4 linked regions of the Mytilus edulis genome follow. The protein of the gene in region 1 purifies or fractionates together with the protein of each later gene. This does not show direct contact. Links are inferred from orthologs where the notes say so. Each region holds a gene or a part of one and is shown in the gene's direction. Other genes may lie near its edges.

Evidence for each region. The genes of interacting proteins can lie anywhere in the genome.
Region 2: the proteins of forkhead box protein J1-B-like (region 1) and protein broad-minded-like purify together in Homo sapiens (affinity purification with mass spectrometry; 3 studies listed by BioGRID and IntAct, counting the BioPlex papers as one, with this or other methods). This does not show direct contact. The link is inferred for Mytilus edulis from reciprocal best matches to the Homo sapiens genes FOXJ1 and TBC1D32.
Region 3: the proteins of forkhead box protein J1-B-like (region 1) and cyclin-dependent kinase 20-like purify together in Homo sapiens (affinity purification with mass spectrometry; 3 studies listed by BioGRID and IntAct, counting the BioPlex papers as one, with this or other methods). This does not show direct contact. The link is inferred for Mytilus edulis from reciprocal best matches to the Homo sapiens genes FOXJ1 and CDK20.
Region 4: the proteins of forkhead box protein J1-B-like (region 1) and F-box only protein 11-like purify together in Homo sapiens (affinity purification with mass spectrometry; 3 studies listed by BioGRID and IntAct, counting the BioPlex papers as one, with this or other methods). This does not show direct contact. The link is inferred for Mytilus edulis from reciprocal best matches to the Homo sapiens genes FOXJ1 and FBXO11.

Annotation. Positions count from the first base shown.
Region 1 is NC_092352.1:1,714,004-1,722,376, reverse strand, and holds the start of forkhead box protein J1-B-like, read left to right. Parts: upstream 1-5,203; 5' UTR 5,204-5,291; exon of another isoform or gene 5,292-5,566; intron 5,567-5,731; exon of another isoform or gene 5,732-5,907; intron 5,908-6,376; 5' UTR 6,377-6,470; coding exon 6,471-6,971; intron 6,972-7,907; coding exon 7,908-8,373. UniProt on the Homo sapiens protein: Transcription factor specifically required for the formation of motile cilia. Acts by activating transcription of genes that mediate assembly of motile cilia, such as CFAP157.
Region 2 is NC_092348.1:15,689,415-15,697,828, forward strand, and holds the start of protein broad-minded-like, read left to right. Parts: upstream 1-5,254; 5' UTR 5,255-5,317; intron 5,318-7,108; 5' UTR 7,109-7,129; coding exon 7,130-7,281; intron 7,282-8,132; coding exon 8,133-8,288; intron 8,289-8,414. Other genes in the region: uncharacterized protein, read right to left, coding at 16-261, 727-798, 1,523-1,628, 1,969-2,400.
Region 3 is NC_092344.1:102,311,276-102,319,657, reverse strand, and holds the start of cyclin-dependent kinase 20-like, read left to right. Parts: upstream 1-5,222; 5' UTR 5,223-5,320; intron 5,321-6,488; exon of another isoform or gene 6,489-6,560; intron 6,561-6,925; exon of another isoform or gene 6,926-6,946; intron 6,947-7,145; exon of another isoform or gene 7,146-7,157; 5' UTR 7,158-7,164; coding exon 7,165-7,239; intron 7,240-8,382. Other genes in the region: uncharacterized protein, read right to left, coding at 930-1,398, 2,466-2,660, 3,292-3,441, 4,296-4,433, 4,963-5,061. UniProt on the Homo sapiens protein: Required for high-level Shh responses in the developing neural tube.
Region 4 is NC_092346.1:84,490,582-84,498,575, reverse strand, and holds the start of F-box only protein 11-like, read left to right. Parts: upstream 1-4,834; 5' UTR 4,835-4,983; coding exon 4,984-5,080; intron 5,081-7,946; coding exon 7,947-7,994. Other genes in the region: EF-hand calcium-binding domain-containing protein 11-like, read right to left, coding at 4,665-4,757. UniProt on the Homo sapiens protein: Substrate recognition component of a SCF (SKP1-CUL1-F-box protein) E3 ubiquitin-protein ligase complex which mediates the ubiquitination and subsequent proteasomal degradation of target proteins, such as DTL/CDT2, BCL6, SNAI1 and PRDM1/BLIMP1.

The DNA of each region.
Region 1 (8,373 bases):
CATAATTGTAGGGTAGTATAGGGTGGTAGCTTATTTCCATAAGATTGTAATTTATATAACATATTCCGTTTCATTTTTTTGTTTTTTAAACAAATTTTGGAAAAGGTGCACCATTTTACAATTTTGTTTTTCATGGCACCACGCCACATTCTGTATGTTTGTGTCTGTCTCAAGTCAGGAGCCTGTAATTGAGTGGTTGTCGTTTGTTTATGTGTTGCATATTTGTACGTAAATAAGGACGTTAGTTTTCTTGTTTGGATTGTTTTACATTGTCATTCCGGGGTCTGTTATAGCCGACTATGCGGTATAAGTTTTGCCCATTGTTGACGGTCGTACGGTGACCTGTAGTTCAGTTAATTTCTGTGTCATTTTTGGAGAGTTGTCTCATAGGCAATCATACCACATCTTCTTTTTTTTTAGATATATTTTTATATGGTTGGAAAAAGAAGACTTTCCATAGAGAAGCGTACACTAGTGTAATTGTTTCAACAAGTCAGCGTCTTTTGGTGTTGTATCAATACACCCTTAAATTAATTTAGAATTATGTTTTTTTACTGTACTTGTTTCATAACTGTGTTCTTTTCGTTACTGAGCTCAAGATTCAAACTGGATAGTGGAGAAACTCAAGAACAAGACGAGTTCCACTTTACCTCAAATTAACGATTTCAACAGATAAATACAAATTTAGCCTTCATTTTTTTCTTTTGTCTGGAGTTGGAAAACTTTGCATTTTCTAGTCAAATTATCCAACTAAAAATAGGTGATGTTTTTACATCTTTTTGCTGAAAATTTATCATTTGTGACTTTTAAACGGTTGGAGAGAATATTTATATAGTTACGCCATAACCACGGACATATTCCAATTGTTGTATCCTGAACCCGTCTTGTTTTCCTTGAATGTGACATACCGAAATATATTGATCAACGGGTTTGTACTTACATGAGCAAATCCATAATGTGAAGCAGGATATGTGTTTCCTTTGGGAGCACCTAAGGTTACATCCGGGTTTTTTTATTTGTTTTTTTTTTGTCCAGTTTCTTTATGTTGTGTCTTGTAAACTGCTGATTGTCTTTTTACCATTTTACGTTTTTCATTTGTATTTGACTTACGACTGGGTTGGCTATCTCTTAGATTTTTTCCTACAGCTCTCTTGCTTTGGCGTAGTATTTTTTTTAAAACTTGAATCTTATATTTAAATTTTTTTCCAAAAAAACACCCAACAAGGATTGAACTCGGTTGCCTTTGATTGACCTTTAGAAGTAATATTGAAATTACCTTACATAAGATTAAATAAAAATAATCAAAAAGCTAAAAATTACTTTAATACATGAAATGTTGAAAATACAAATTTTCCCATGTATTGGTGGTAATTATTTATTTTCTTTGAACCTGGGACCGAATAGAATAGTGTGCCACAGGGTATACGAATAATTAATGTGTCCCCGTTATCAAATAATTATTTATATTTGTATAGATGATATAACTTTAATCAATGGATTCCAATGGCTAATTATTAATGTACACAATAGAAATACAGTTACGGTTTTTGCCATTATTCTTCAGACAATAATTAGTTTCCCGGAGCCTTTTCGTGTTAAAACAAGTAAAACATTCCATTTTTCTGTAGCAAGGATGTGTAAATGGTTATTCTTACGGGATTGTGAATTTCTATTAGTGTGTGTCTGTGTTTGGGGTATTTTATTTTTTGTAATTTCAAAAGTTTGTTTTTAAATATACAAGCAAATTCGTCAGCGTAGTCGGTACACAGATATTTGCTATCACGAAACTAAATTTAAAGGCTCGCAAAATTTCAAATAAAATATCCTTATCGGCATTCTAATGCAACTGGAAAGAAAAATATACATCTTTGTCTGCATTGATTGATATGCGTTTACTTTACTACATTGGTTAGAGGTATAGGGGGAGGGTTGAGATCTCACAAACATGTTTAACCCCGCCGCATTTTTGCGCCTGTCCCAAGTCAGGAGCCTCTGGCCTTTGTTAGTCTTGTATTATTTTAATTTTAGTTTCTTGTGTACAATTTGGAAATTAGTATGGCGTTCATTATCACTGGACTAGTATATATTTGTTTAGGGGCCAGCTGAGGGACGCCTCCGGGTGCAGGAATTTCTCGCTACATTGAAGACCTGTTGGTGACCCTCTGCTGTTGTTTTTTATTTGGTCGGGTTGTTGTCTCTTTGACACATTCCCCATTTCCATTCTCAATTTTATTGACTCCGAAACAACTTGTCATTAGTGCATGATTCGTTTATGTCCCGGGGTCACTGAGACTGAAAAGGGGGAGTGTGTTGTATATAATAAAAAATCAGAACCCACACACATGTTCATGTGGCTGTCCCAATTTTGGAACATCGTCGGTAGCATGTTGGTCAAATATCAAATGTTTGACCATGTTTTAAGTGACTTAATTTTTTATGGCAGTTTTTTTAACATTCTCTGTTATTGTTCACAACTTTTCATAGACTATTATATAGATACTTGTCTGTTGTTGAATATTTGTTGTTGACCATTTTTTCACACGTAATTTGTCTGAAATGGTAAAAAAGGTTAATTATAAGTTATAAAATACAAAAAAATTAAAGTTCCTATTAAAAAAAAAAAAAAAGTAAAAACACAAAAATACTGAACTCCGAGGAAAATTCAAAAAGGAAAATCAAAAATCAAAAGGCAAAATCAAAGTCCAAACACATCAAACCAATGGATAACAACTGTCATATTCCTGACTTGGTACAGGCATTCTCTAATGTAGAAAATGATGGATTAAAAGTGTATATTCTCAATCCTTTCACTCTCCAACTCGGATCAGTTAAACAGTGCAGACACAGAGAAAGGCAACGCACAATAAACACCAGCTCGAATTAAGTTAAACACTTTAAAGTCAATAATATTGAGATAACAGATGACAATAATGCATACATGAGCAGTAATTTAGCCTTACCGTATATTAAAGCTTCTTGGAAGTTTGGTACTGATTGATTGATTGGTTGGCTGTATGTTGCTTATCGTCCAATGGGAAACCGTTATATAAAATTGAGAATGGAAATGGGGAATGTGTCAAAGAGACAATTGTTAACAACCCAACCAAAGAGTACAAAACAACCGAATGCATGTTCATGCCGAGCTTTGCTACTGAAAGCAAGGACGTATATATAATATATCTTAAAGTTGTGTATTTCTATAGAAACGCCTTTTTTTTAAATTCCAATATAAAAAAAAATATAGTTCCAAGTAGATTTCATGAAATTAAAATTTCCAAGCTAACAAATCAATATTTTCTTCACTGTATATTACCTATCTATCGTATTGTTATTGTTATGTATGTCGTGAACCTAAAAGCATTCTTTTCTTCTTAAAATGCCCATATTATGAAAATGGTGAAACAAGTATTGTGGAAGATATTACACGCCTACGAAATTTTAATTTAAAAGTTTGGATCGGCTTAAATTCCGTATAAAAGTATAATAGGATAAACTTCGTCAAGGGAGTGTTACTGCATACATGAATAATAAGTTTCAGAATCGGTACAAGTTTAGGAACTATTGTCTACAACTTGTACACGAACTAATATAAGTTTGTATAAGGATACTTGCCTAGAACTTGTACAAGAACTAATGTGAATTCATATATATTATTCCCAATAAAGTATCAAAAAGGGATATACTATTGGGATTAGCTTTTAACCCTTCTGTCGTCATACTCGTTTAGTATAGAATAATTTGTGGTATCATTTTTTTTATTAAGCAACTGTATAGATTACAGTATGGAAGTTATGCATGTTACTGCTTAAAATGTCGCAAATTTATGATTTATGATTGAGTACAAGGGACGTGTAGGGGTACTACGGTTTATGTCTTATGAGCAATTTTCAATGCTTGTCAATTTTTTTGGGAGCACTGCGGTTTCCCTCCCAATCTACCTGTTCGCATTTCAAGTCACATAAAAAAGAAAGAAAAAGCACAAATTAAAAACACAGTCTTAGCCGTTTTATATCCAAGACTTATGTTTGACTTCGTACGTATATGCCATTGACAATTCCTTTGACGATTTATTTGTTTGTTTAACTTTTAATCTGTCCGTGTTTTAATAACTGTTAAAGAAGACAAATGGGTTTTCATTATTTATTACAACATTTTAAATCATCGAAATCTTATTTAAATGAAATGACACCAAATGACGTCAGTTATGAAAACACATTCTTTAAAATTGAATTTGTCGTATAATTGGTGTCATTTTCAAAACAAGTCAAAATTAATTCAGTCACGTAAAAAGATTAACATGAAAGAAAAAAATTGTCCGATATCTAGATAATTTAAATATTTTTTCCCACTCTTTATATCATTGAATTCGGTTTCTTTTTCTCAGTATCCAATTTTGCTCACATTAGACATACAAATGAATATGATTATTGAACATGGAAATCTAAAGCTATAACAGTTTTTAACAATTTTTCACCCTACAGGTTCAGCTATGTTCGAACTTTTTTGTTTGATATGTGTGGTTGGTAGAATCATGCCGCACAGCGCGAAAAAAATATTACTTGAAGTTTTTCGACGATATCAATCAAATTATTATACTGTACAAGGTACGATTAGGTGTAGAGGAAATCTGCATTCACAATTTTTTTGTCATCTGCTTGTCCAGTATATTTTTTTCGTCAAATTGGGGATCATAATATATTTTTTGTTGGGAAAACCGTACCCGCCCCCCCTTTTTTTTTGTTAAAGATATATGGTCGTTCACATACTGGATAGCACTATTCCATTTGCGTTTCCCTCTATTTGCTGAATAATTCTGTTCGTCAATAAATTATACATGCCTGGACAAAACTATATATGTATATCATGTTTTGTCCCCAGCACAGTCCTGCATTAAATTCATTAAAATAAATTCCCCCCCCACCCCGAAAAAATCCAACGAACAAAGATCAACAAATTAAAAAATATATATTAACCACATTTGGCTGCGTGTCTATTAGAAAACAAACAGCTCCCATTGTTTGTTTCAGAATTAGTGCAAACCATTTAGATTTATTTATGTTTGAAAGTTTACCGGCAACGTGTATTGGAACCATAATATTTAGATGAATGAATGTGTATTCCGATTATGACCTTTCAACCAATAACGCAGCCAATAGCTTTATCGATAACTTGTGATGTGTATTGCAGTCCAATCAAATTAAACGTCTTTTACATAGTTTGGCCCCATTGTTTATCTGCTGCCATAGCGGAATGTCAACAACTTGCAAATTATAAAGAGACTGTTTACTAAGGTTTACATTGTTGCCACACTAATTTTATTTATTTTCTCAATGCCCGGTTAATGCTTTCATTCTTAAAAAGTCTTCTAAATCGACAACTTCTTTTAAATATCATCAAAATGAATTTGAAAACTGAAAGGCCGTAAAGCAATAAAAGCTTGAGCTTGCAGTTAATCAAGAAATTTGTTGATTTAATTAACGCGGTCGTTGATGAACACGCCTGGGCTTATCGAAAACTAATTAGGAATTAAGTGAACACATTTTAGTTGTTTTTATTTCCCGTCAAGGTAAGTTTGATTAAACCAATCTGTCGTAATCAAATATGAAAGAGTGATTTATTTCGACATTGTTTTCTCAATCATATATGTTTTTGACAATTTATTTTGTTTGTTCTGAGGTAAATACACGTGTCAATGATACTATAAATAGTCCTTCACAGTCCAATGATAATCAAATCAATCTAACGGATTTAAAGGGACAACACGTATTGACGCCTTTTTGTAGAGCAAGTTTGATCACATTTTACTCTGATTAAACACGTTTAGCTTTGGAAATAAATAAAGTCCCTGGATAGCTGTGCATTATTTTAAACTATATTGAAAGTCAAACAAGTTTAGAGGAGCTCAAGGTATTTCATTTTTTTATTGTGTGCAATAACATTTAAGATATTTATTTATATTATTATTTATATTATTGCTTTTAATGATTACTTTATTTTGACATTTGCAGAATGCATTTTTTTTTTATATTCATGATTTTATTTTAAATCATGCATTGTTGTTTTACATGTCCTTTATAAATATACTAAAAAGCCCGATAATAATTTCGATCAGAATTGTCAAATTTACTACTTTAGTTTTAGTATTATCATTTTTTATTTTTTAAATTTATCTGTAACATGGAGAAGAGAAGATTTGTCCTTTTTTACCAATGATATTAACATTAAGGTCAAGTATAGAAATGGGGAATTTCATTTTAACATTCATTAAAAAAATGTTTTTATTTAGATAGATTTTATTTTGATATCTATAAACATTGATAGTACTTGCAATTTATTAATATGAAATGAAATTGAATAGATTGTATTAATTTTTCAGGTTGGAATTTTTCTTCTAGAATTGATCAAACTTAACCGCCAAGACGAAGTACCCACAGGCCTACGCTCTCCACCAGCAGAATAGGACTGGGAAGATGCCAGTTCTAACAAGGGAGAATTTAGCCGTCAAATTTAGGCAAAACTGGATGGCTAAGTATCCCCTTGACACCTGCAGCAATGGTGGATCAAACCTAGATGACAGTCTCACCAGTTTAAACTGGCTACAGAATCTAAACATCATGAAAATCACATCACCAACACCACCTCCAAGTCCGGTACCCTTTGGAAATTATGCAAATAATGAAATCAACAAGAACATGAAAGTGAATCCTAATGCTATATTGAACGTTTCTTGCTCTCCTCCTCAGTGTAAAATGGAGCAAAAGTTTCAGCTTGGAGACACACCACCTACAAGTTTGAACGGTGAATCAATAGACTATAAGACCAATCCATATGTGAAGCCACCATACTCGTATGCCACTCTAATCTGTATGGCAATGAAGGAGACCAAGAAAAGTAAAATCACATTGTCCTCCATCTACAATTGGATTACAGAAAACTTTATGTACTACAGATTAGCAGATCCTAGCTGGCAGGTTAGTATTTTATTTTATTTTGGACACATTTTGTTCACTTGTTGACATCTTCAGAAATAGGTTGTAGGCTTTCTTCTTATACAAAATTAATGTACAAATTCTTTAAAAAAAAAAAAGACTTAACAGTTGTATATATTGAAATTGAGGTTCTAAATAGGTTTATCTTCATAAACTAGACTAAAATTATTCTCGTCTGAAACCATCTATTGTAAATTTATACATTTTATAATCAATTTAATAGAAATTACTGACTTGATATTAACATTGTACTGATTTATCTTATATAATAATATATTTAATTGGTTATAGTGAAAGCTTGGTCATAAATTTACTTTACCAATACTTAATGACCATATTGTGAAATTATACCTACATACCAATCTTTATTTAAATTTCATCATATACTTTGAATAGCCCCGAAGTTTAATCAATATTTCATATAAACTTGTCAGGTAATCTGTGTGTGTGTAATACTATTATTGCTGTACTGTTGTGTTAAATCATTATTGCTGTACTGTCGACATAGTAAACTTATAACCAAATTGAATACATAGAATTTTATTAAATGGAAAAAAACTACACAATATGCAATGGTCTAAATTACTGATATGCAATGAGATTTGGTACACATATATTATGTCAACTTTAATAAGATAAACAGGGAAAACAAAATGACCTTCACAATACATTGATTATTTTCTGTATACATCTCATTTATCATATTATCATGATTATAGGGTGCTAACATACTGGTGTTTAAAGGATTATTATATAATAGAAATGATGGGGAGTAATTGATTTAATTAATAGCATTATTGATAAGATATAAATAAAATAACAACAGAACTAGCAATGATGAATGATTTGTTTAAATTACACTACCATAGGTTTATAAAGTTGATATCAATACTTAAATTATTGATCTTTTTTTTTCAGAACTCCATCAGACATAATCTATCACTGAACAAATGTTTCCAGAAAGTGCCAAGAAGGAAAGACGAGCCAGGCAAAGGTGGATTCTGGAGAATTAATCCTGATTATCATGATATGATTGACAATGGCGTGTTCAAGAAAAGGAGAAATAGTCGAGAGGGGTCATGTTCTGCTCCTCCATTAAAGAAGATCAAGAAAGAACCTGAAGACGATTATTTACCGATGTGTCACGGAAAGTCATTGAGAAATGAAAGTGTTGTTCATTTCAATAATGACGAACATGAATCATTAAAAGGTGACTTCAACTGGACCTCAATATTACATCAAGACATTGAAATAGCGGGAATTAAAATTAAAACCGAGGACTTACTTGACGGCCCAGACTCAAATTCAGTGCCATCAGATCCTATGAGTCCGCCATCATCCGAATGTAGTTCTGACAATTTTAGTATTGAGGATTTATTTTCAC
Region 2 (8,414 bases), on another chromosome or scaffold:
TAACAATCTACATACCGACATGGTGTCCAAGATTCCTAATTTCTTCAACATTACAATTTTCGTCATTGCTTTCCATAGCTTTATTTGCCATCCTCAATTTATTTTCTTGGGCCATGATTACTGGGCTCCAATAGTTCAGCTCGTCTAAAAGTCGAGTTTTCTTATCGTAACTCTTGTCCATCAATGTGTACAAATTCTCAATACGAGAAACTGTTTTTGGAATTCTTTTTTCTTTATTCTTTTTGAGGCGTCTGTTGAGCTCTTAAATAATTAAAAACGTATGTCAGTATCTATTTTTGTTCACACAAAGGATTTAAATGAAAAGGGTCCAACAATTAGTTCTCACCAATTCAAAGCATAGAACGACCCTGCAATTAAAGTTTTTTGCTAAAAGGTATTGCTATGAAATATATTTTATATTTTCCAAGACAAATGGATTGATTAACCACTTTACTCATTCAATGAACAGCTAGTGAAAATTACATATACCCTGGGTACAGCTAGTATATCTATATATTGTTCCTGATATAACCCAGAAAGAAAGATGATAAAAATATCACGAACAAGCTAAAATAATACCTTTTTTTCAAATAAGGCCGATCTTTCAATAAAATCGAAAACGGTCGAAGATGATAATAAATCACTCCTGTGGTTCAAAATTTGCTGATTCATCAAAAGAGATGAAAACAATGATAGTTACCATGCATATAATTAACACTAGCTTACCTTCAACCTCAATTAATAACGTTTCATTTTGCCACAAGAACTTATTCATAATACTACGATAAACGTTCATATCTGAAGAAAAAAAATAGAATGTTATTCAGAATACATTGTTTTTGTCAGGTCCAGAGGCTTCACGATTTAAAAAAAATCACATTTCAAAAAATCCAGGGAATGGAACTTTTCTTTCATAAAAGTAAATAAAATAATTCATCAGCCCCAGAGATATGACATTCATCATCGACCGTCGGCTGGTGATTATATCATATATCTGGGGATGATAAATCATGTATTTCATAAAGCTGGCGTGATACTTGATTTTAGAAACAGTATGGTTTCAAAATTGTTAATAATTGTATTCGTTATAAAAAAAAACACCCCTTGAATTAACGGTTATTTAAAGAAAGTTACCTTGAATGGTGTTGACTTGTGGGTTGGGACTTGTGGTTGATTGGATACACGGTATTTTTGTTTCGAATCGGGAACTTTCTACACTAACGTATAAAAAGTCCCTGTTCGAATGTACCCGATGAAAGTCAATCCAGAAATACACGTAAAAACAGTGTCATAAAAAAAATGTCATATATCTGCATTTAGTGTTCCTTATATATAAACTCTTTCGTTTAATCATCATAACTTGTGCAATACGTGACTGTATTTTAAAAAATGATTTGATGTATAATATTGAATTAATTACATTTGTATAAAAAAGTATCGCCTCAATCGACACTTCGGGGAGCGTGCTTTATATTACAGCATGTAGATCAAGAGATATAAGGTAATTATTTTACTATCACACCTTGTTTCATGTTTCTTGTCAGCAGGACGTTCCTTTGCATCCAAAAGAACAGAAAGAAGAGAAGCAATAAACAGAATAACTGTAGTTTGCTGAAGTCAGCCAGGTACTGTGTACAGGATGGTTGTGAAACAGAATACAGGAAAGAGAAAGAAAAGAAATAAAAAAAGAAATTGAGTTACAACAACAGAGAAAACAAAAAATGTATTAACGAATTCAAATAGCACTAGTAGAAGAAAAATAAAAAAATAACGAGCTAATATATAAGATAGATAAAACCAAAACAATGATGACAAAACATAAGTTAAACAGGTGACTCTGTGACCATAAATATCAGTCGACCATTGATGATGGAAGCTAGTATGTCAATAGGATAGAATGCGAATAATGGATCATTTTAAAAACATAAAACATACAAGTTAAGATAATTATTGAAGAAGTTTGCTTACATTTTCCGACAAGGAAATAAAGGCGAGTATACAATTTGATGTGTTCTCTACAGCTGGTAGGACTAAGTTGTTGTACGTATATGTTGTGATATCTGTTGTCTGTTGTAACATTGGATGAACTAGATCATCTATATAATGATTCATCATGTTTGTAATCTGATTATTGTAGTCAATGGCTGAATTGTAGTAAAACTTTGCCTGGTCCAATGGGTAATCATTGGGTTTGATATAAGTGTCTGGTAACACGTCAAAATAGTTCCTAGTGCACTCAGCTATATTCTGCTGTGTTGAAATGGTAACCTCTGTGAAACTGGTGAGACATTGAGTTAATATGTGCTCTGAAATGAACTGTTGGGATGAAACTACTACTCCTAGTAACTTTTCTAAATAATTAGTTTGGTATCCAGTAATCATGTTCATAAGGTCAAACATTCTGAAAAATAATAATTAATTCATTATGTACGTGGTTTTTCTTGCTTTTCTTTACTGTTTACATATGGATGTTTTAGTTCGTGTGCAGCAAAATGTCTTCCGCAAGTTAGATAAACAAATATAGAAGTAGCACTCCAATTAAATCCAATATGTAATGCTTCTAGACAAAGCATTGATGATGTACGTGGCACAACAACTTACCCAAGTTCTCATCAATACACTTTTGCAGTAGTTATATGGGAAGGAAAATCATGTTCTATCATTGGAATATGATTTGTTGTACATGTAGTGTTTTTTTATATTACGAAGCTAGTCTAGATATGTTCAAAGAAAATTTGGTGAACAATAAAGACTATAAATATTATTCAGTATGGTTACAGAAGCAAAAAGTAAAATCACAAAAATACTGAACTCCGAGGAAAATTCACAAAACGGAAAGTCCCTAATCAAATGACAAAATCAAAGGATAAAACACATCAAACGTCGAATGGACAACAACTGTCATATTCCTGACTTGGTACAGGCATTTTCAAATGTAGAAAATGGTGGATTGAACCTGGTTTTATAGCGCTAAACATCTCACGTTTATGACAGTCGCGTCAAATTCCGTTATTTTTACGCGATGCGTCAACAAAACAGACATAATCGGTAAAATAGTCAAAATATAGTTACAGCAGTCATCACTGTGTCACAATCTCAAGACAAGCAACGAACTTAATCGCGACAACATACCAACAGCACAATAAGACAAATACCAATCAAAGATAAAATACTATATCTAACGGTCATCGGTTGGTTAGTCCACAAACAGCGATGATAATATCAACAGTATGAAACTCTGTGTTCTCTTAAAATACTCACCAAATTATATAAATTTACCCTTTTTGTAGAACTCATTTATGGAGAAGACAAAACGATTTCGATGATGAACAATTTTCTTATCTTGTAAATCAATTACAAAATACGACAATATAAAAAAGAAGAAGCGTTATTATTGCCAATGAGACAACTTTAGATCTCCACAAGAGACCAAAATGGCACAGAAAGCTACTGGTGATCGTATGAACAATGAACACAGCCCATACCGCATAGTCAGCTAAAACCCCCAAAAATTTCCAGGCCCGAAAGTCGGTTTGCAGATAAAATGGCTACATTGTTTCATACCAAACGAAACGTACAAACAGTATTCCTGAATCCTACGATTCTCACTCAATATTTTCAATAACATACAGTTTTGTTGATTTTGTGGTAAATTAAAACTATTAAGAAGATGGGGTATGCTCACGGACTTGAAGAAACATCGTTATGAACGACAATTAATTTTAGGTTTGAAACATTTATTCAAACAAAGTATTACGGCAAGAAACTCGGTAAGTAAAGGCTTATCAGCATGAAAATTCTCCTTAACTTAACTCTTAAAAAAATCTATATTTTAAGACCATTATCACGAAACTAATTACAACTTACATGTAGAGGTTTCTATCAGAAATGGTCGAAATTGCTGTTTTTGGGTTTTTTTTTATCTCTCGCTCGGAACTTTTGTACGTCTGATCTATCTAGGAAGATATGACTATCTGCAGCAACTTCTCCAACGTAACTAAGGCAAGAGAATGAGACGTAATAATTAACGTCAATGACGTTCCATGATTAGATTGTGGGTTTTAATTCTCGCTACTCTTCTGTGGTATTGTTTTACATTAAATAGATAGATGCGGATATAACGGGAATATTTGAAAAAATATTATGCATGTTACGGTTTATTAAGTTTGAACTTACTTTAATCTCTTAAATTTGCAAGACTCGATATTGACAATCCATAACAGTTCTGATGTTAATGATACGTCGATTAACTTGACTTATATCTGTAACTAAATTCACTTCATTAATTGGTTCAATGGCAAATATCTAAAAAAAAATCATATTCTCAAAAAAAAAAAAAGCATCATACTGGGTTATAATACCGTCAAACTTATCACTCGGCTATCACAAAAATCGTTGAATAGTTGTTAGTTAACATGGAAATAGGAAATAACACTTGAGTTGTATATTTAGATTTTAAAAGAAAGCCTTTTTTCAACGACCATGCATTTAAATTAATAGGTAATTGGTGTTCGATAAGATTTTGTGGAAAAAAAGTAAAATCACAAAAATACTAAACTTAGAGGGAAATCAATTCGGAAAGTCCATAATCATATGGCAAAATCAAATAACAAAACGCATCAAAAACGAATGGACAAGAACCATGAGAACTGTCATATTCCTGACTTGGTACAGGCATTTTCAAATGTAGAAAATGGTGGATTAATTAAACCTGGTTTTATAGCGCTAACCCTTTCTATTTGATGACAGTCTCATCAAATTCCGTTATATTTAGTGTAGCTATAGTGTTGAGAGTTGAAAATTCAAAATTATCAACCGAAATAGAATGACCAGATCAAAAGGCATAGATACTTGGAGGCAGGACATTTTATTCTTGCCGTCCCCCTTTTTTCAAAATCTGTTATTATTGTTTGTTTGATGAAAAAAAATGGGGAGGGCAACCAAAAGATTTTCCTATCCCAAGTACGTATGTCAAAAGCACGTAATTTATCTACCCGTCATATACACTCCAAACATATTTTAATAATTCAACTTTTTTTATGTTGTTTTTACATTACAAATTATGACCTATTGCATGTACAATAAATATTAACATACATGATCGTGAAAAAAAGTTACATTGTAAAATATTATACTTTTATCTAACACTGATAAAAATCATATTATAACGTTATAATTTCCCCTCTCAGATCCCCTGATGCTGATTGACAACCAAATTTCTATAAAATAAATTTTCATTGGTCAAAAGTGTGCTATTAACCAATCAGCGCTGTCCTTTGAAAAGAAGTTTAGGAACATTTTCAATATGGCGGAAATAGTAAACAATATTTATTTTCCATTTAAAATTGACAATTTTATACTTATCAGACTGTTTTAATATGCATCAACTGATTGATTATTTTTACACTCACTTGCAAAGTAGTATTAGGATTTTGTTAGCAGGGAAAAACTTCTCATTAGTCTATTACTAGCTGTCTCATGAACCACCATGACCATGTTATGCCTTAGCACATTAGTACCCTTTGGCTTTGCATGCATGTTCATAAAATGGACCTCATACACATTAACTGATAAAAAGACCGAACCTTATCCCCTTGAAAATGTCTTATGAGAGGGGGTATGAGGGGTCCTGATCCTTAAAATCATGAAATCCTGAGGTCCTAAATTTAAATAAATTTAAATCCTGTCATCCTGAAATTCGAAAAGAGAATTACTGGATCCCGAAAGGGTCAATCCAGAAATCCTGAGCTTAAAAACACCCGATCCCGTAGTCCGGATTAAGGTCCTTCCCCCTTCATGAAGCACAAGTAGAATATATAACTAAAACAAACAATTTAATCAGTCATGTCAGTAGGTCTTTTAGATAAAAATATTTTATTTCCTAATCATAGGGCTCATAACAAGCATGTAATCACATAAACAGATAAAGTAAAAATAAAAAGCCTTTCTTTCCCACTCGCATACACTCACACATACAACTATCGTTCTGATTAAGGATGATTGATCTAACAGTACAACATGTAAATGAAAAATAAAATACATGTACAGACACAAATGTATTTTTATTTTTTATTTATGAGGAGAGTCAGTTGCCTACATTGTATCTTTTCACCACCGAACACTAAAAAACACCCCAATTTGTTTTTTGTCTTCTATTGTTATAAATGTGACCTAAATATCATATTTAAGTTATTAACAAGTCATAAGATTAAAAGACCAAATATCTACATTGAACAGAAAAGTAGTCTATAAGACCACTCTGTAAACTGTCAAGGACAACTCACAATTTTTTCCCCCTATTTCCAAGGCTGATCACTACCTTTTTGGTACACAAAATATAGTGCATTGATCATAACATTCTATAAATTCTACCCATGAACATTTCCAGAAGAGTATCGATGTAATATATGCTCAGATATTCAAGGCACAAAATGATGTTACACATGACAAGAAATTTACATAACTTTTGCAAGGTGCAGGAATCTAATATCTGTTTTAGAAATATGAATGATGTCATGCATTGTTAAAGTCATCATTTGTCCAGACTGTTAAATCCACTACACCCAATGCTTTATAAAATGCAATATTCATCTTTACTTCCCCCTGATAAATTGAAGTAATCTTTACCATTCAGTGCTTACATGCACTTTATTTAATATTACTGTTTTTCTTTGTGGTTGGTGGTATTTTGAGTGTTCAGTGGTAAGACCCACCCCAATTTAATACCAAGATTTATTGAGCCAATAATATTAAGTAAAACAAACATATCCTCATCTCATGGGTTTTCGTGTATATATATTGAAGTCATAATTTCCATTACAAAGTATGCATAGTATCTATTCTAAATATTCAATTGACATACTCAAACATATATATGATCTGACCATTCATGTTCATTTGAACATTCTGTTCCTTTAGAAAAGATAAAAATCTAGTGTATCAAATATTTAATGAATAAAAATTTTAGACAACATTATTTGTTTACAAAAAATAGGACTTTCCTCTCTTGGTACATCACATATTTTTCATATTACTGCTCTATCATTTAAATTGATCAATATAAATTATTGAAACTCTTATTCAATAAATATATTATTTGTTTTTCCAGAGTAGACACAGTATTTAGATAATGTCGTGGAAAGGTTTGGAGGGTGAAGATTTGGTCCAGAATCTGAGACAACTGGTCATTAGTTTCGAACCTCAGATAAGAGAAGCTGGGACTGTTGACCAATCAGAAGAAGCTTTGTATCATCTAGAGGAAAATGATGAACATTTCCATAGGTCAGATATGATTTTTGTAATTTCTAAAACATTGATCATGTTGACTTTTGTACCATCATTTACTTTATTAACATACACTAATGGCAATGGTGGCAGAAAGTGGGTGGTTATACCTGATCCTTATTGTAAAACTTTTGTGATCTATCTTTACACATCAGCAAAATATTTCATGAAACATTTTTTTTTGTATAATTCTTGTACAAAATACTCCCAGCTAGAGTATTAAATCTTATATTTTCTCTTCAATAGAGCAAGACGTAATACCTGTTTTACATTTTCTATATGAATATATACAAATTATTCAACATTGTTGTTTTTAACAGTGTGTTATATATACCAGATACAAATGTTTATAAATTTCATAAATAAGTGTAAGATGGATTCATTTGATATAATCAAGGCTGATTATACATGTAATATAAAGCAAAATATTTCTGGTCTCTTATAATTTCTTTGTGTTAGCATTTTTTACAACAAACTCCAGGAAAAAATGTACTATATAATACTCCCAATAAAAATAAGTTTACAATTAATTTCAATGAAACCATGGAATACATACAGAATATTGGTAATGTTATTTGTATATAAAAAAGAATTAAATAGAAATTGGTTAGAATAAAGGCAAAATCATACATTTACTGTGAATTTTTTAAGTTCTTAAACCTATGTCATGAAAAAATTGCAGTTATTTTTGTTATATTGGAAACAGTAAAAACATTATGAATGTACTTTTTTTTATTATTAATTAACTTTTTATACATTTCACTTAATTTTATTTGGTTTTGAGAAGAAATATATTTTCTAAATAGAGATATGGTGCATCAGTTTTGATCTTGTAATTTATTTTACAGGCATGAATTTGTGAAAGTGTTAAGAAGAAAAATAGAAGACATTATTGGTCCATTGGCAGAAGAAGAGATAGAAAGATTCGAGTCTAGTATACATGATTCCAATGGACAAGAGACACTCATCAACAAAATTACAGATAAAATACTTCACTCAAGACAGTATGTAATAAACTCAATAGTCTGACACAAACAAAGAAATTTGAAATATTAAATTTTTTATGAGAAGGTTTGATGTTGCTATTAATGAAAACTGACCCCTCTTTTGGTCATCAACAAATTTAACCC
Region 3 (8,382 bases), on another chromosome or scaffold:
CTTAAGGAGTTATGGCCCTTTATAGTCAATATTTAACAATTTTCATAAATTTTGTAAATTTTTGTAAATTTTTACAAAATATTTTCCACTGTAACTACTGGGCCGAGTTCATTATAGACAGAGATAATTATAAGCAGCAAGAATGTTCAGTAAAATAAGATCTACAAACACATCACCATCACCAAAACACAATTTAGTCATTAATCCATCTGTGTCCTTTGTTTAATATGCACAATGACCAAGGTGAGCGACACAGACTCTTTAGAGCCTCTAGTTAATATGATGTTGAAGATGAAAAAATGGAAATCAAGTTTGATATTGATGATTTTCACTTTTACCGTGCAGGGGTTGATTTTGAAATAGCTTTTTGTGTCTTTTTATGATTATGGTCCTAGGAAGACTTAGTTTGGAAAATGCCACTTATGGCAGTTGTTATCAAATAGTCCGTTTCGCTGTATGTTGGCGTTTGATTTTTGTTTCTCTTCAGTTTTTTCTGTTCCGTTGTCTTTCTCTTATAGTTGATGTGTTTCCCTCGGTTTTAGTTTGTAACCCTGAAGTGTTTTCTCTATCGATTTATGATTTTTGAACAGCGGTATACTACTGTTGCCTTTATTTATGTGGTTTTAGTGTTTGTTTCTAATGGCAAAATGAGGTTAAATTTATATGGTCCTTGATATATTGGAAAATACACAAAGAACGTGGCAGGTCAAACAACCTTAAAAGTAAACGCCTTTAAATTGAAAACAATTTTCTCTGAATTTGACAGCTTCAGTTGGTTTTTTTATGTTTATGTCGCTGTGTATCTTTATCTTTAAAGCATACAAAGATATGACAATAAATTTGTTTAAAAGATAAACAGATAGTTGTACATTAATTTGAACGTCTACCTGAATGTAAAAGATACCTCTTTTGTTAGAACTGTGAAATACCTGTTTTGTTAGAACTGTGGAATATCTGTTTGGATATAATGCAAGTTGAACTTGACAGTTCTTCATTTTCATCAGACCTCATTCTATTTTGATTGTGATGAAGGTATCTCGGGCTGAGCCTTGATCTTTGACCGCCTTTACAGCGTTCTAATACATCCCTAGATATTACTTCTACATTGGCTATAGGGTGTGGTAATTCTGGTAAAGTAAACATATCGTCTTTTAGAAAACTGTCTTCTAGAGGCTGGTCAATAATCAGTTCTTCACAAGTTTCCAAGCTCTTGTCTGGGTGTAGTGGTTGTATGTTGTCATATGGCAGGGTTTCTGCATAAGTTGCTGGCTGGCGGAAATAAGACTGGAAAGGACTTTCCGATTCCATCATCAACGTGTCGTGGCTTATCATTCTACCCTCACACTTGACACAGCAATACGACGTTTTCTTTAATAATCCGGGTTTGAAATCTTTCAACTACAAAGTCAAACAACCGGTGACATGCATTTTGTGGTGACGCTAGTTCATGGCCACCGGCACCTACGAAGCTAGATTAATTTGTACGTGGATATTTTTTATTAATAATGCGTGAAGTGAATATTTTTCACATTGCCGATAATAGAAAGAAATATTTCTTTTCAAATATTAATTTGCACCCTCGTTATGAATTCTAAACTGAACTTCTACGAAAATGTAGTATTTTGATAACATAGGCTTGATACCAGAATGAAATGTATGACGTAAGCATTAGTTAAAGAAGTTTTTAAAGACTGAAGTTTCTTAGTTTAACGCTAGCTTACCACTTGAAGCGAAATATAGACTTCACATTCTACCTGTATCTACACTTTATTACTACATGTACTTATACTGGATAATTATTAAGACTATTTTTCTATCGTTATTTAACTGCCCTTATATTCATATTTTAGTATTATATAGAACATAACAAACCTAGTGAGGAAAAAGTGAAATACATATTTACAAATAAGAGGAAAATACGCGAACAAGACAAATTACTAGAAACAGAAGACCGACGATGAACGGTAAGGCGTCTAAAGTTTACACAATAAAAATGCTCTCAAATGATACCAGCTAGACGCTCCAGAAGATTTCTATTGAAGTTTTGTTTTGGCTAATATGATGAAGATATTCCTTATGTTTCGATATTTTGTAATATAAAATGAAACTTTATCTTTTTAGGGAGGCCTCAATCGGTATGAGAGTGGTCTTAGCAGTGTTTGACATCAACCTTAATTGATCAGGATTTTCAGTTCAAGTTTCATGCAGAAGGTCGTTGGTTCTCTCCAACCTCCCTACCAATAAAAACTAATTGCCACGATATAGCCAATATCACTGAAAGTGGCTTTAAACGCCAACAATTCATGATATTTTACATGATTCTTATATTTCTATTAAATAAAAGTCAAGCATGTAAGATTTTGAAATTCTCAGTGACATTTCTGATATTTGTGTTTTTAATCTTTTGTCAACGATCTTTGAATCTATGTTTTAGCTGGAACGCAGATAACATTAAAAATATTTACCTCAGATTTAGATCTGAAATCAGGACATGACATTTTTTTACCATCCAACTTCAAATAAGACGTTTCTCGAATGGGAGATGACGGTGGGTTATCGGGAGACGATCTTCCACCACATTGGCTGCATTCACTACAAGTTGTACTGCTAAATGATTGGCTGATGTAATACTGCCGTCTATGTACTAGTGGCGTACTTGGCTGCAATAAAAATCAACAAAGAATGTAGAAATGCAATTACTGTAATTCATTTTTTAAGAGTTAATACCATTAACAAAAGGTTTTTCATTTTTTAATTGTTTACATTTTGTCATGTCGGGGCCATCTATTGCTAGATGTACAAAGTATGACCCCATGATGACCATTATCTCTCAGAAGCAAATGTTCCTGCATGTGCAGGTAGAATTTAATTATGATTTTTTTTCACATACAGTGTTCTTAGTTGTGTTCAAACAGTATGGTTAAGCAAATACAATCAAAGCTACTCGTGTCATTTTCGGGGATACAAGTCGACCCACTTTAAACATTCAAAGCCAAAAGTTAGAAAACTTACGGTCAAAGATGTACACAATTTGCATAACTTGCCTGAGGTCAACTTTTCCTGAAGAGGTGCAATTCTATATTTCAGATTGTTATATCTGATTCATAGAGTTCAATAATCATCATGTTTATGATGTTTTGTATACTATTAGGCGTACATATCAGTTAGATTATGTACAAACGACCCAACGTCCTCGTAAGAAGGATGGATCGTTGACTAATATATATATCTAGACGTTTTTTATATACATTTTTGACAATTTCTTATGTAATTGCATTTTTGAAATATTACCAGACGGAACTGCAGGTTGGATAGAGCGTCCAGTTTTTCTCCATTGACACTCAGTGGTCCTGTTTGTATATCATCTTTGGCGCATGCAGGATCATAAAACGTGTGCTGATAATACTGGGTAGTTGATGGTCTTTGTGGAAGAAGATCAATCTTAACATAAAAAATGAATATTATGTAGGTCTGCTTTGTGTTTTTATATTCATGAAATTAATTGGTAATTTCTTTTTCCATTCTCTTTGCAACAAATCAATGTATCAACACCACTCAGTGGCGGCATATCTGGTATAGGTATACCTGATATTTATCATTAATGAACTAAGAAAAAGGACATATAAAATAACTAGTATTACAACTCATATAACTATAAGAAAGAGGTAGGTCCAGTTTCCACTGAATTTCTGTCAATCGCAGACTCCAAATTAAAAAAAAGGTAAAACCTGGAATGTGTATAGAAAAGTCGCAACAATACAAATTATAGATTGTACAAATTTTCATAAAAAGAAAATGCTTTTCATCGCTTTACATCGTTGTCGAAGACGGTTTTGTTACAATATTGGAACAAAACCTTGTCAAACATTAAACTGAATATGTTTTTGAACTAAGAACAACATAGCGGCTGGCAAAAGTTTTCTCTCAATGGAATTTGGGTTTTTGTTTGAGATTTTTTTTTATTCATGTTTGCGAAAATTACTAAAAATTTGCAAATTATCAAACCGGCACTATACACATGATGTTGTCATGTTGTGAATTTTAGTAAAGATTGATTTTTTTTTTAAAGTGAAATCTTCAACTGTCAGAGTTTTCTTAGAAGCTATAAGCAATATGTGGTTGATTATCTAATTGTTTTTTTTTTCTTCTTCTTCTAAGTGTTTCATTTTAAAATTTTGGTTTCAACAGTACCTAATGGTGATTACGCACTAGATTAAAGTTGTCCACATCATTCGAGTGAGATACAATACCACGGATTATTATAACACATTCTTTTCTTTAGATATTGCACGTACCTCTCTCGGTTTTCTACGTATTCCAGTTCGACTTTTAAGTGTGTGTGTCAGCTCTGTATTTAAAAGGGATAGCCCTTGTATTTCCTTGACATCACAGCTGCCTTCCCTGCTTCGGTTGCCCGCTGTCAAACTACCTATCTAAAAGGGGGAGTAAAAACAAATAAATGACAGGAGCTATACATACAAAGGAGTTCGAGATAGGTCATCTGGTACGTCGACGTTGGAGTTTTATAATACATTTTTGTTTTGTGTGGCTTATTCTTATTATACACCTATCCAGTTGTAAATTCGTATGGGGTTTTTCTTGGGGGGGGGGGGGGGGGGGGCGCTAGGCTTTATAGTTGTTTTTGTTATTAATCATTGGTGGATAGTGGATCATAATGGACTGGTTGTAAGCTGCGTCAGTGCCCAATGTCGCGGCGAGAACAAAAAGCAGTGTTGAACTACCAAAATCAAAGTTAACGTAAAAGATACATTTGTTAAAACCTATATTACTTTTAAGTTTTCACAGAAAACAATTGTCTAAGTTCAACACGTGATGAATTACTTACTTCACGATCTTCTTTGGTAACATTAATCATCTTTGAAGAGCGTTTATACAATCGAATGTAATTTGGCTTCGTTAATATCTTTTTAGATATTCTTTGAATAAAACATTCATATCTACCTTAGCAACTTTTGTCTTGTCTAACCCTTTAGTTGAAGTTGATGGTGAATGGAGGGGTCCATTGTCTGGATTGTATTCTATTAAGGATACAGTTGTCATTATAACACAAGAAGATCCTTTTCACTCCATTTTCGAGATACGCCGATATCGAATGGTAACGTAACGTCATAATAGCTTAGTTGTTAGCGCCTGTGTCATTGGTCTCTTGTGGAGAGTTGTCTCATTGGCGTAGTACCACATCTTCGATTATCTTTATAATTTAGTTGGGTGTAGGTAGATGCAATAGTGCTGATCTACAACTGATGTTATAAAATCAGATTCTTCAATGGGAAAAAAGCATTTGTTAAAGAGATAGGGAGTACGTTATCATATATTACTTAGAACTTTTAATGTATTCTTTCATATATTCAAAGATTCAATTCTAACCAGATATTACATCCTAATTTTGACAGTAATGTTGTTTAAAAGCCTATCAACTTAGACACTATCCGTGTAAACTCGTTGCACCTCTGAATAAACCCATTATTAAAGAATAAATTATGATCAATTTATCACCGCAGTAAGATCTTGGTATGCATAATAACTTGTGGTTTTACATTTTCGTGATATTATGTATGCATATTTGATGCAATTGTCACATATTTCCCAGACTGTTTGTGGCGTCTTTACACTTAATCCATCGTGTGGCTGCACGAGCCTTCGTATTGCCGGTTCTTAATTGGAAAAAGCAAGCCTGTATTTAATAAATTAATGATGACAAAATTTACGGTTGTAAAAGATTTTTCAAATTTTGTTTTAAACCCTATTTTATCAGTTTGACATTTCCAGTATCAGATTCACAATTCTCATCGCATTTCTTTCTATCACAGTAGCTCTGTACAATGATAAAGATTTAGAGTATATGTTGTTTTATGAACTGCTTAACACAAATGGATGGTACAAGCACACAGTCAGTTTTTTTTCGCATGATTCTATCACATGATGAACTTGACATGAAACAATCTAATCAGAAGCGGATCCAGCCATTTTAAAAAGGAGGTTCCAACCCAGGATAAAGGGGTGTGTGTGTTCCAGCCAAATGTCCCCATTCAACTGCATTGATCGTCCAAAAAAGGGGTTCAAACCCCGGACCCCCCCCCCCTTTTGGATCCGCCCTCAGTGTTCTAATACTGATCATTGTTCCAAAAAAATTCGGAACACTAAAAAACTTTTTATGGATATGAAGTTCTTATTTCCAGTTTTATTACTACTCAAGGAGAGTAGCACAACTTGAGTGACTACATGTTAGGTTGGTATATCTGGATCTGCAGTATAGTAATCTATCCACTTAATTAATCACTTATTCAATTTATATATCATTTTAACAAAATTCTTTTCAATATCACCATTCTGTTTTCTAATTATAATATAGGTGTATTGATCACAAGAAGAAAACTTTGTTCCAAGTGTATATTTTTTATGATAACATCGAAGGGGCGAAATGGTGTGGGACGAACGTGGACTAAACAAATTTAGATATTAGTTATGTCCCTTTGTCTTCGTTCTTTTCAAAAGAAACCATATTTAGACCAAAAAAATGCTTTCCTGACAACAACAAAGTATTTTTTACAAATTAATCGACATAAAAAGCATATTGTACCCAAACTGAATATCATTCAAACAGTTAGAATTGTACAGAAAAAATGGTTTAATTGTATTCCACTGCCACAGGGGTTTTCCTTATTTTGGACACATATTTATACACATAGTATTCATTGAATAATAATACATTGCTACTATTTTGTTGAGTGTATTTTCTGTGTTATATTATTTTATTTTATCATTTTTATAACACTTGTTACATATCTTTTACTGTGTGTGTATTGCATATGTTATTGTTTATAATAATATTGTCTGTATCATATGCCCTCCTGGGGCCCTAATTTGGTAATAAAAAATATTCTATTCTATTCTATTCTATATTCATATTACACAAAATTTTAAGGTTAAAACCGTATTTATATAGAATATTTTATGAAATAAAAGTATGTTGTGAATTTGTTCTCACGATTTTATCCGATTATTTGTTTTATCAGTTTTTAATTAAGAGAAGTCATAAGTCTTAGATGGGCAGTTGCATCGGACTGCACCATATTACAGTTTGGTTTTAGTTTTAAGTTCATTCAACATTCGGTACATATTAGTTATCTTTATAGATTGGTAATGGAACAGTATACAATATTGGGAAGGATAGGAGAAGGCGCTCATGGCATTGTCCTTAAAGCCAAACATATAGAGGTTTGTTATAAATAAATAAATAAATAAGCTTTATTTAGAGTCGGCATGGTATATAAAACATAGACAAACATAAGCTCTAATGAGCTTTTAACCGACATATGAGACATTATTTAACAGTACAACATTTATAACAATATAATACATTATAATATAGTACACATGCATTAAATATCACAGCACAAAAATGAAGCACTAAAAGCAGAATATAAGCATAAGCTAGGTATTAAGGCTAAAAGCATATAAGTGTAAACTAGGCATAAAAGCTGGTAAAAATGCTTAGCATAAAAAAAAAAAAAAAAAAAAAAAATGGGATATGATCTAGATGGTAAATAAATTTTCATAATATATAAACTAAAAGTCTGCACAAACTGTGCACTTACAGTCATTTCCATTCCATGACTTTAAAATATTTTTGAACTGACTAAAATTAGCAATTTTTCTAAAATCATCAGGTAGATCATTCCATAAAACAGCAGCTGTGTATTTAAAAGAGTTCTTACCATAGGTTGTTGTTCTGACCCTAGGTATATCTACAATATTAGAATATCTAAAATTATATTTACAGTCTTTCAAAACAACTAAATCATGTAAGCATGGTTGTGACAATTTATATAAAATTTTAAAACACTCAATAGCCATGTTACGCATACGTCTTATTTTCAGTGATGGAACCTTTGCTCGTAAAAGTAGTTCATCATATGAACTAACATAGTCTTCATATATAAATCGTTAAGCCCTTTCCTGAATTTTTTCCAATTTGGTGGTGTTATTTTTGTTGCAAAAATGCCATGCCAAAGGACAAAAATTAAAATTAGATAAAATAAATGTGTGGAAAATTGTCAGTTTATTCAATTTAGTAAGGTAGCAGCCAATGCGCTTTAAAACATTCAGTTGTTGGGATGCTTTACGACAAATATTTTTAATGTGGTGATTGAAATTAAGTTGATAGTCAATATCAATACCCAAAAGTTTGACAATCTCATCACAGGATATTTTTGCTGACTGTATATTAAAAACAGGCTTTTTTGCAAATGTTTTATTTCCAACTGCAATGGCTTGGAATTTGTCAGGATTTGCCTGCATACAATTAAATCTGAACCAGTCAATTAAAACAGCACTTTCTCTTTCGAGTGTACATAATAA
Region 4 (7,994 bases), on another chromosome or scaffold:
TATTGATATCTTGAAATTGATAGTAAATAGCAAATACAAGTTATTTTTTGTATATTCATGTTCTTGCAATACAGAAAAAAAAGTGAAAATAATTGAAATTGACAGAAAAAAAACAAAAAAGGATTTTGGTAAAAAAGCAGGAGGAACAAAAATAATTATCCTGGCCACAAGTACCTATTAAACGCATGCAAACACCTTATCGCCATTTGTCAGCCATTACTGGATATCATACAGGTTCCCGTAAAATTTTGACGTCATAAAACAAAATATCTGACGCCACAATGGAAAAGTGATTGTTGCGTAGTCGTAGGGAACCATTATAGTAAGGCCTTCAAAAATATAGTCAAACCAAAACCCATTCTTAATAAAGTTAAGGTGAGAGGTACGTAAATGAACGCCTCTAGCGGAAAACGGGAAAATCGACGTTTGTTGCTATGGGAGTTATCTCCCGTACACCAGAAAATATATATTCAAGATGTCGGAATATATTCCGCTTCGTCGGAATAATGGTCAGTTTGGTGGAAGAGAATTGAATGCATCTCACCAAAATGTAACAAAAATTGAAGTATGTAAAATGAAATATCTTGTAACAGTTAAACAGTGCTTCCCTCCCATGAAAATGACAGTAACTTGTCATGTCGTGATGGTCGGAGTCTGAGAGTGATTGAGTTGGGTTAACTAGCTGACCAACATAAATGCTTGCAAGAATTTCTATTCACCATAATAATTCTACAAAACTGTTTAAAGTACAAGAAATCGGTCTCGGAAGTAATTTGTTTATACGTTGGGGTAACTGCACATATGTTTATACGCTGGTAATCGGCACAGATCAGAGTGACTTGAAGATCGGGAATGTTGATATGGGACGTGAAAACGAAATGAAGCATTGATAAGAATATCATAAACTCGTACATGCATTACACACATACACTCCCACATTATTATTTAACAAATTAAAGCTTACACTATATATTGTCATTTTATATATTGAAATTCCAAAGCAAATATAGTCACAGACTTACATTCAGTCATTTGCATTCAAAGAAACAAAATTTCCCAAAACAACTGTCACAGTGAAAGCGGCTAGGACGTATTCAATCCTCGAAAAAAATAAGGTTAATACTGATATTCATGATTTGATATTCCTGTTCTATAACCATTTTCTTATTTAAATATAAACATAAACCCGGCTTTCTTTACAGTGCTTTCTTTCACGTCCGCGACATGGTCTATAAATAGAGTTTGAAAATGAAAGTACTAGTACTATTTTAAAACAAATAATTTATAGTAAAAAAATATTGAAGCAAAAGAGTTTAATTGCTGCCTGTGTGACTTATGCACGGACAAACGGGAAGTAAAACTGTTTTTTAAAATGAACAAAAATTTAAAATAAATGTTACACCTTGCTTTTCATTCAATTTGAATTGAATGGAACATTGTGAGCTTCCAACGTGAAAAAGCGGCAAGGGTAAAATAGAGATCCGTTGCATGAAAAGTATTCTTTCATGATAACCGCCACTTCAAAAATAAAATAAATAGCAAAGTACATGTACATATATAATATTGAAAATTTAGAAATTTCTGGGTGCATCAATCAATTCATTTTAAAATGCGCAAAATTTCGGAACTACGGTTATATCGATTTCAGTTGATACTATTTGTATACATGTACAAATGTACATGTGCAAATGCTGCTGTAATTTTTTTTAATTAGAGTTTTCATTTTTGCGTTACGTATTTCTTCTCAATTTTCGCAATAAATAAAACTTTGCAAACAATTCTACGAACAGGAATATTGTTGGCATAAATTACGAAGTACGTAATGCCGTTGGCTATTTCCAATCGCTGCAACATCTAATGCCTAGTTCACAATTACATTAAATGTAAAAGCAGCATAATTAATACGTTAAAACTCCCTCGAAGACGGTTCTTCAAAATCACATGCAGCTTTTCTATTCAGTACATAATTAGCTTAATCATTACAGCTAACAAAAAACAGACTTGATACATTTATCAGAACGTCCTATAATGTGTGTTCAAAGTCCGTGTTGAACAATTTATAAATAACACATAGCTGAGTTCTGGATAGAGCAGATTTGTACCCCGAGAAAACATTGTCTACCGCGGCGAAGCTGAGTAACAAACAACCAAAAGATGAATAAGTTGGAATTTATATACATTTGTTTTTAAATATTCACATATATGCACTGTCCTCACTATAATAATGGAACAAATCCAACGATAGGAAAAAAAATTAGGGATAATATACATCAAACTTTGAAATATTCTTTTTGTTTAACTTTTGCCTATAATTTACATTTTTCCCACATCTCCTTTCGTGTCATATTAAACACACCATTTAAGTTTGCAAATGACCAGTACTATTTGGATCGAAGTATGTGTTCATGTTTGTGTTGTTCTCGTGCCATAGAAACATACATTTATATATTTTATATGCATGACCTCCTGCAACTATCGGGGGAATAAAAGTTTACTGTTGTGTTTTTTTTTATGCACCCGCCGTAGTGGAGGGGGCTGTAAGTTTTACACTTCTCCGTCTTTCCGTCCGTCCGTCCCAAAATTGGTTTCTGTTCTCTAACTATAGTTTGCCTCAACCAAATGTTAGGAATCTTATAAACTATGCTAATTACCACAAAACACAGATCTAGTTTAAATTTTGGTGGCGTCACTTTTACCGTTCTAGGGTTATGCCCAATAATAAATTGAAAAATTGCTACATTTTTCGTTTCCGTTCTCTAAGATTAGTTTGCCTCAACCAAATGTAAATAAACATATGCACAATGCTTATAACAATTAAACTAAGATCAAGTACAAATTTGGGTAGCGTCACTTTAATGTTTTTAGTTACGTCACTTTAGAACTTTATATGCAAGCGGGGGCATCGTCTGTGTCCCATGGACGCATTTCCCCATTTATTTACTATTGTTTGTCTTTTGGCCGTTTTCCGGGGTTTTTTCCCATGGCATTGTCAGTATGATTTCGGCTTATAGGTTTGAAATTCCTGTTGCGTGGTATATTTCGCCTCCCTTATTCTGAAGCAGCAAAATTGTGGTCGGAAATGTGAACATTGAATGTATATCGTCATTCGGAGAATCTATTTTAAGGACAGATCTTTTATTGTTTCTGTTATATATATTTATAAACATTTGTAAATCTTTTAAAGTGTCACTTGACACTGTGTTTAATCATTCCAGAAATCATGACGTTATAAATACATAGGTTCTCGTATAATAACTGAAAATCAAAAATAGGCAATCAATTCTTTTTTCAAACAGGATAATATGCTTAATTGCGCATTCGAATAGCCAAACAAATTATAATGAAGCAGTCGTTGTCCTTACAATTCTGCTGATATAGCCTTGACGTTGCGTAATTCCTTCGGCGACGTCATGATTTTTTCCCCTCTTTTCCCGTCAGCAACACACTTTCAACGGCTGATATATAAAAAGGGAGTTCGGAAACCCCTTGAAAATTATATATCAAAAGAAAGAAAAATAATACCTTAAAAACATTTGATTTTTATAGAAAAATCGTAGGATTGGTTTAAACTCCAGAATAACTAAAGTTTGAAATTTCTTATTTTTGGTTTGAATTTGACGTTATGTCTATATACTTTATGTTGTTTCCTAACAATTTTCAAATTTCTGGAACTCGGAAATTAGATCGGTGACAAACTTAATTTTTTCGATTTTTCATTTTCTTTTTATAAGTTCTACGTGTTTACATACAATTTCTTTTAAAAATCGCCGGACAAGCAATTTACGTACCTGTTACCTTAAGACAGCTTTAAAAGGCCTGAACATGACAAAAAAACATGCTTGTAGACAATGGTTAGTTTTCTAGCATTGATATTTTGCTCTGTCTTATGCCTGTATTTCAATAAATTATTTAGACTGCAACTGTTTAAAGGGGCACTAGCTGTCAAATTCATTGTAACCGATTTGACTCAAATTCTCATATTTGGTTTATAACAATGTAAAACATTTATCCAAACTATCAAAAGTCTAAAATAAACAGTTTACAGAGCATGGGGGAGATAATATATAGGTTCGTTTCGTGTGTATTTTAGTCCAGACGCCATCTAATTAACTATCGATTTGACCTCAGATGACCATATAAGCGATGTAAACAAAAATAAAGATACGAATAGATTAAACCAACACGTGCAATTGCATTTTTAAAGGTCTGTTTGATTTTATTTTATAGATTAAAAATAGATGTTTCTCATTGTTTTTAACCATATAAGAATGATTTTATGTGCATCGAATTAGTAATCAAATGATTTACCGTAGTTTCACTTTCATTGTTGACATTCTTTTTCTTTAAATAACCAGTACACGTACAATGCATGCGTTGTCAATCTCTAGCTAGGGGTTAACTTGAAGTTCACATGAATACCGGTTAGAATGATGATGACGTTTTCACTTGCAAGTGAATCAGTCAAAAATTATGTTTAATGGCTTATTTCAACAAAATTAAAGGAAATTGATTGCTAAAAGCAAATTATTATTTCATTATTCCAATTTGATTAATGATTGATCTAAAAAAAATCATACTTTATTTTTTTATATATATCGTAGCTAGTGCCCCTTTAAAAGTGTTTGTTTTGCAAATTTACACATTTTTAAGTCATTAGACATTACTGAAGACAAAAGTTGTTTATCTTGCTTCGTCAGCGATCTTGGGAAATTATGATACCCATATTCCTTCAGATTAAAATCCAGACTACAGGACATTTTTTGGTAAATATTGTAGTGGTGCTGTCATGTTCAGTCGTGCCAAGCAAAAGTGCACCTGGGGTTGTTTACCCGGAAGTAGAACAATTATTGGCGAGAAATTGTCACGTGATGCGACAAAATTAACAGCCACTCAAATGGGAATAATTTTCAAGATGGCTACCTAATGTAACCCGGAGTGTTTATTCATGAAAAAATCAGGGAAAGGCGTGTTATTTCTGTAAATATGTCTAGTCAAAACACGCGAACGACTAGATATAGTACTAGGAATACAAAAAATCGTTCCAACGTGAAACAGTCATCAACAAGAAGGAATAACGAAGGTGAGTTTGCGAGGGGTCATTGTCTGTTTTATAAAAAATGTATTTTTAGTCGTTCTTTGCAGTCAGCAAGTCTGCATAATAAATTAAACTTTATTTCAAATTATATATAGTTCAAATAAAATGAGAGATTTTGTGAGGTGCTTGCTTAAAATAGCTACACACATAAAGCTATCTACAACTATCAATTATATGTTTTTTGTCATGTATAGTTGTGATTATGTTGATTATCTATTTTCGTAAAACTTTTGGTCTTTATAGTTTGATAACTTTTTTATGTTCATGTTCAATATTACCAAATGGTACATGTCAAATTTGAACCCCAATTAATAAATTGATAGACATTGAAGCTGAAATCTTACTGTTTACATATGATTAAGGGTGATATGTATGATAATGTAGGGCATGTACATCAATTTGACAGCAAGCCAAGAACTCAAAATAGTAGAGAGGATGTCTAGAAATAGTATATAGCATGTGTAATTCAAAAATTGATAGGCGTTCATACACCATTTCTTTTAGTAAATAAAGAGCATGATTTTACTAATATACAAAAGTTACAACTCTACCAGCAAGGGTTATAAGCAATATGTATGTACTTCGAGATTCCGCCAGTGTAGACGCACCCCTCAATTGAATGCAAGGGTACAGTGGATCCATGTTCACTCCCTAAGGATTAATGGAGATGTGTCCTTTACAATATTAACCCACCACCAGAACAATCCCCACCCCCATCACCGCCCAAGAGAGCGTGTAGGACACCGGGAAGTCTGTTAATATTGTGAAGGAAGCCGATGTACTCAGAGGGAACCACTGGGCTTCCCAGCGGGAACAGACAACCCGAAGAGATTTCAGAGGATTGATCTCCAGGTTAAGCTGGGAACAACTTTGACCTACCAAGGCCCCCGAAGTGACACATGGCACAATAAGAAACACTGTACCATTCTCATCACAATCATTGTGATCAATCCTTTTATATTGCATCCTCAGTACCAAAAGAACATCATAACAGTTCTATTTTTTTTATGTCTGTAGCAGGGCTTCCAAAACGGTCGTATATTCCGGTCATTTGTATAATGTCCGGTAAAAGTCCGACTGGGCAAAGCATGAAACGGTCATATACTTTTTAGTTTTCAAGGCTTTTTTGGTCATTTTAACATAATTCACGTCCTTTTTGACCCAACCTTTTGCCTTTAACATCAACACATTTCCGGTCATAAAAGTGACATAATGATTAATTACTATCAAAACAACCTCCACTTCAATACTTTCTAATTTTAATCAAGGCTAATTAGTAGTTGGACAGCTGAAATCTACCTGTTCAGGTGACAGGTGAACTATTTTCAGTACCGGACATCGTATAAATTGATCAGTCTATTCACAATTATTTTCTTACATTTCAGCGGTTTGTATCTAATTGATTTAGTCCAAAAGATTAAAATTATAAGAAATTAGTTTATCAACATGATTTGATGAAAAATTAAAAAAGGTTTTAAATGAAAAATCGTCAGAACTACGTTGTATGAACTAGAACATGTGTGCGGATGTGCACAGGTAGGAAATTTAATTATGCATCCTACATTTCTTCAAAAATGCTAAAATTATCATTTATACCTGTATATAACGTTCATTTCAAGTATTTTGTTGAATTAATAACGTGGAAATAGCTTCTTCACTCAGTTGTGCTTTGTAAACGTACATGGATTTTCCGTATCCGTTTATGGTCCATGTTTTACAATTGTCAAGTCAACATCCGGTTAGAAAAATGTGATTTTAAAACGAAAGTAAAGTTTTTTCTTTTCACAAATAAAGAGTCTAAGGCAGATACAAATGTATGAGCACGCTGATGTGCACACTTTGAATGATGCACTGCCAATTTAACAGTTTACATCCGAACATCAAATTCATATCAAAGTAAAGTTTAAAATCGTTATTTTAATGTAATGTCAATCATTGGAATGGCCATCTGATTACCATAATTGCCTTTTGTGACTAAGTCTTAAGGGATTAAAATCGGGATCAGATATAAAATGTCCGGCTGGCTCAAATATTTTTTGGAAGCCCTGGTCTGTAGCAGAGTTTTTTGCAACTTCAACACATGTTCTGATTGTTAAGCTTTCTGGTTGTTAGTCTTAGGCTTAATTATGATGATGGTGAAAGATTTATTGCTATTTAGTCTCCAGCACTAATTCTGTTGTGCAGCTAAAAAGCTCTCGGCCTTGTAAGTTCTGACACTTTCACATCAAAACAACACCTAAATCCTGAAGTGGTCATGCTTGCATGAATATATGGCAATGAAAAGGCATTCATATGCTTATAGATTTTTCAGACCTTCATAAATTAGGGAAGAGTTGTATCATAATTATATAATCATGTTATTGAATAGTCAGGAGTAACTGAGTTAATTTAATATTAAAACAAACTTTTTTTTTAAAAACTATTTTCTTGTTATTTCAACATTTATTAGATGTAGTTGTTATTGTCATTAAATTAATTAATTGACACCTGTCAGCTGTAGGGAATCTTGATATTAAATCTACTTGTCTGTTATCCCATAGATAAAAATATTTCCACCATCATTGCATCATTCAATTTTTAACTAGAATTGATAGTATTGACCGGGTCAGTAAACTTTATGTGATCATACGTATATGTTTTTTTTAGCATTATATATGATATAATATTAGTATAAAATGACATATTCATATATTAGATTACTTAATTACAGTCTGATTAAAACCAGCCCCACTATCCACTTACAAACGCAAGTGGATAGTGGGGGTTGGTTTTAATAAGACTGACTTACTAATAAACTGAATTTCATTTCTTTTGAAAAATATTAAGGGTATTTATGATTTCTTTTTTCCAGAAGGAGGCAGAGACAGATCTAACAGTAATAGCAGTGGCGAGGAAAATG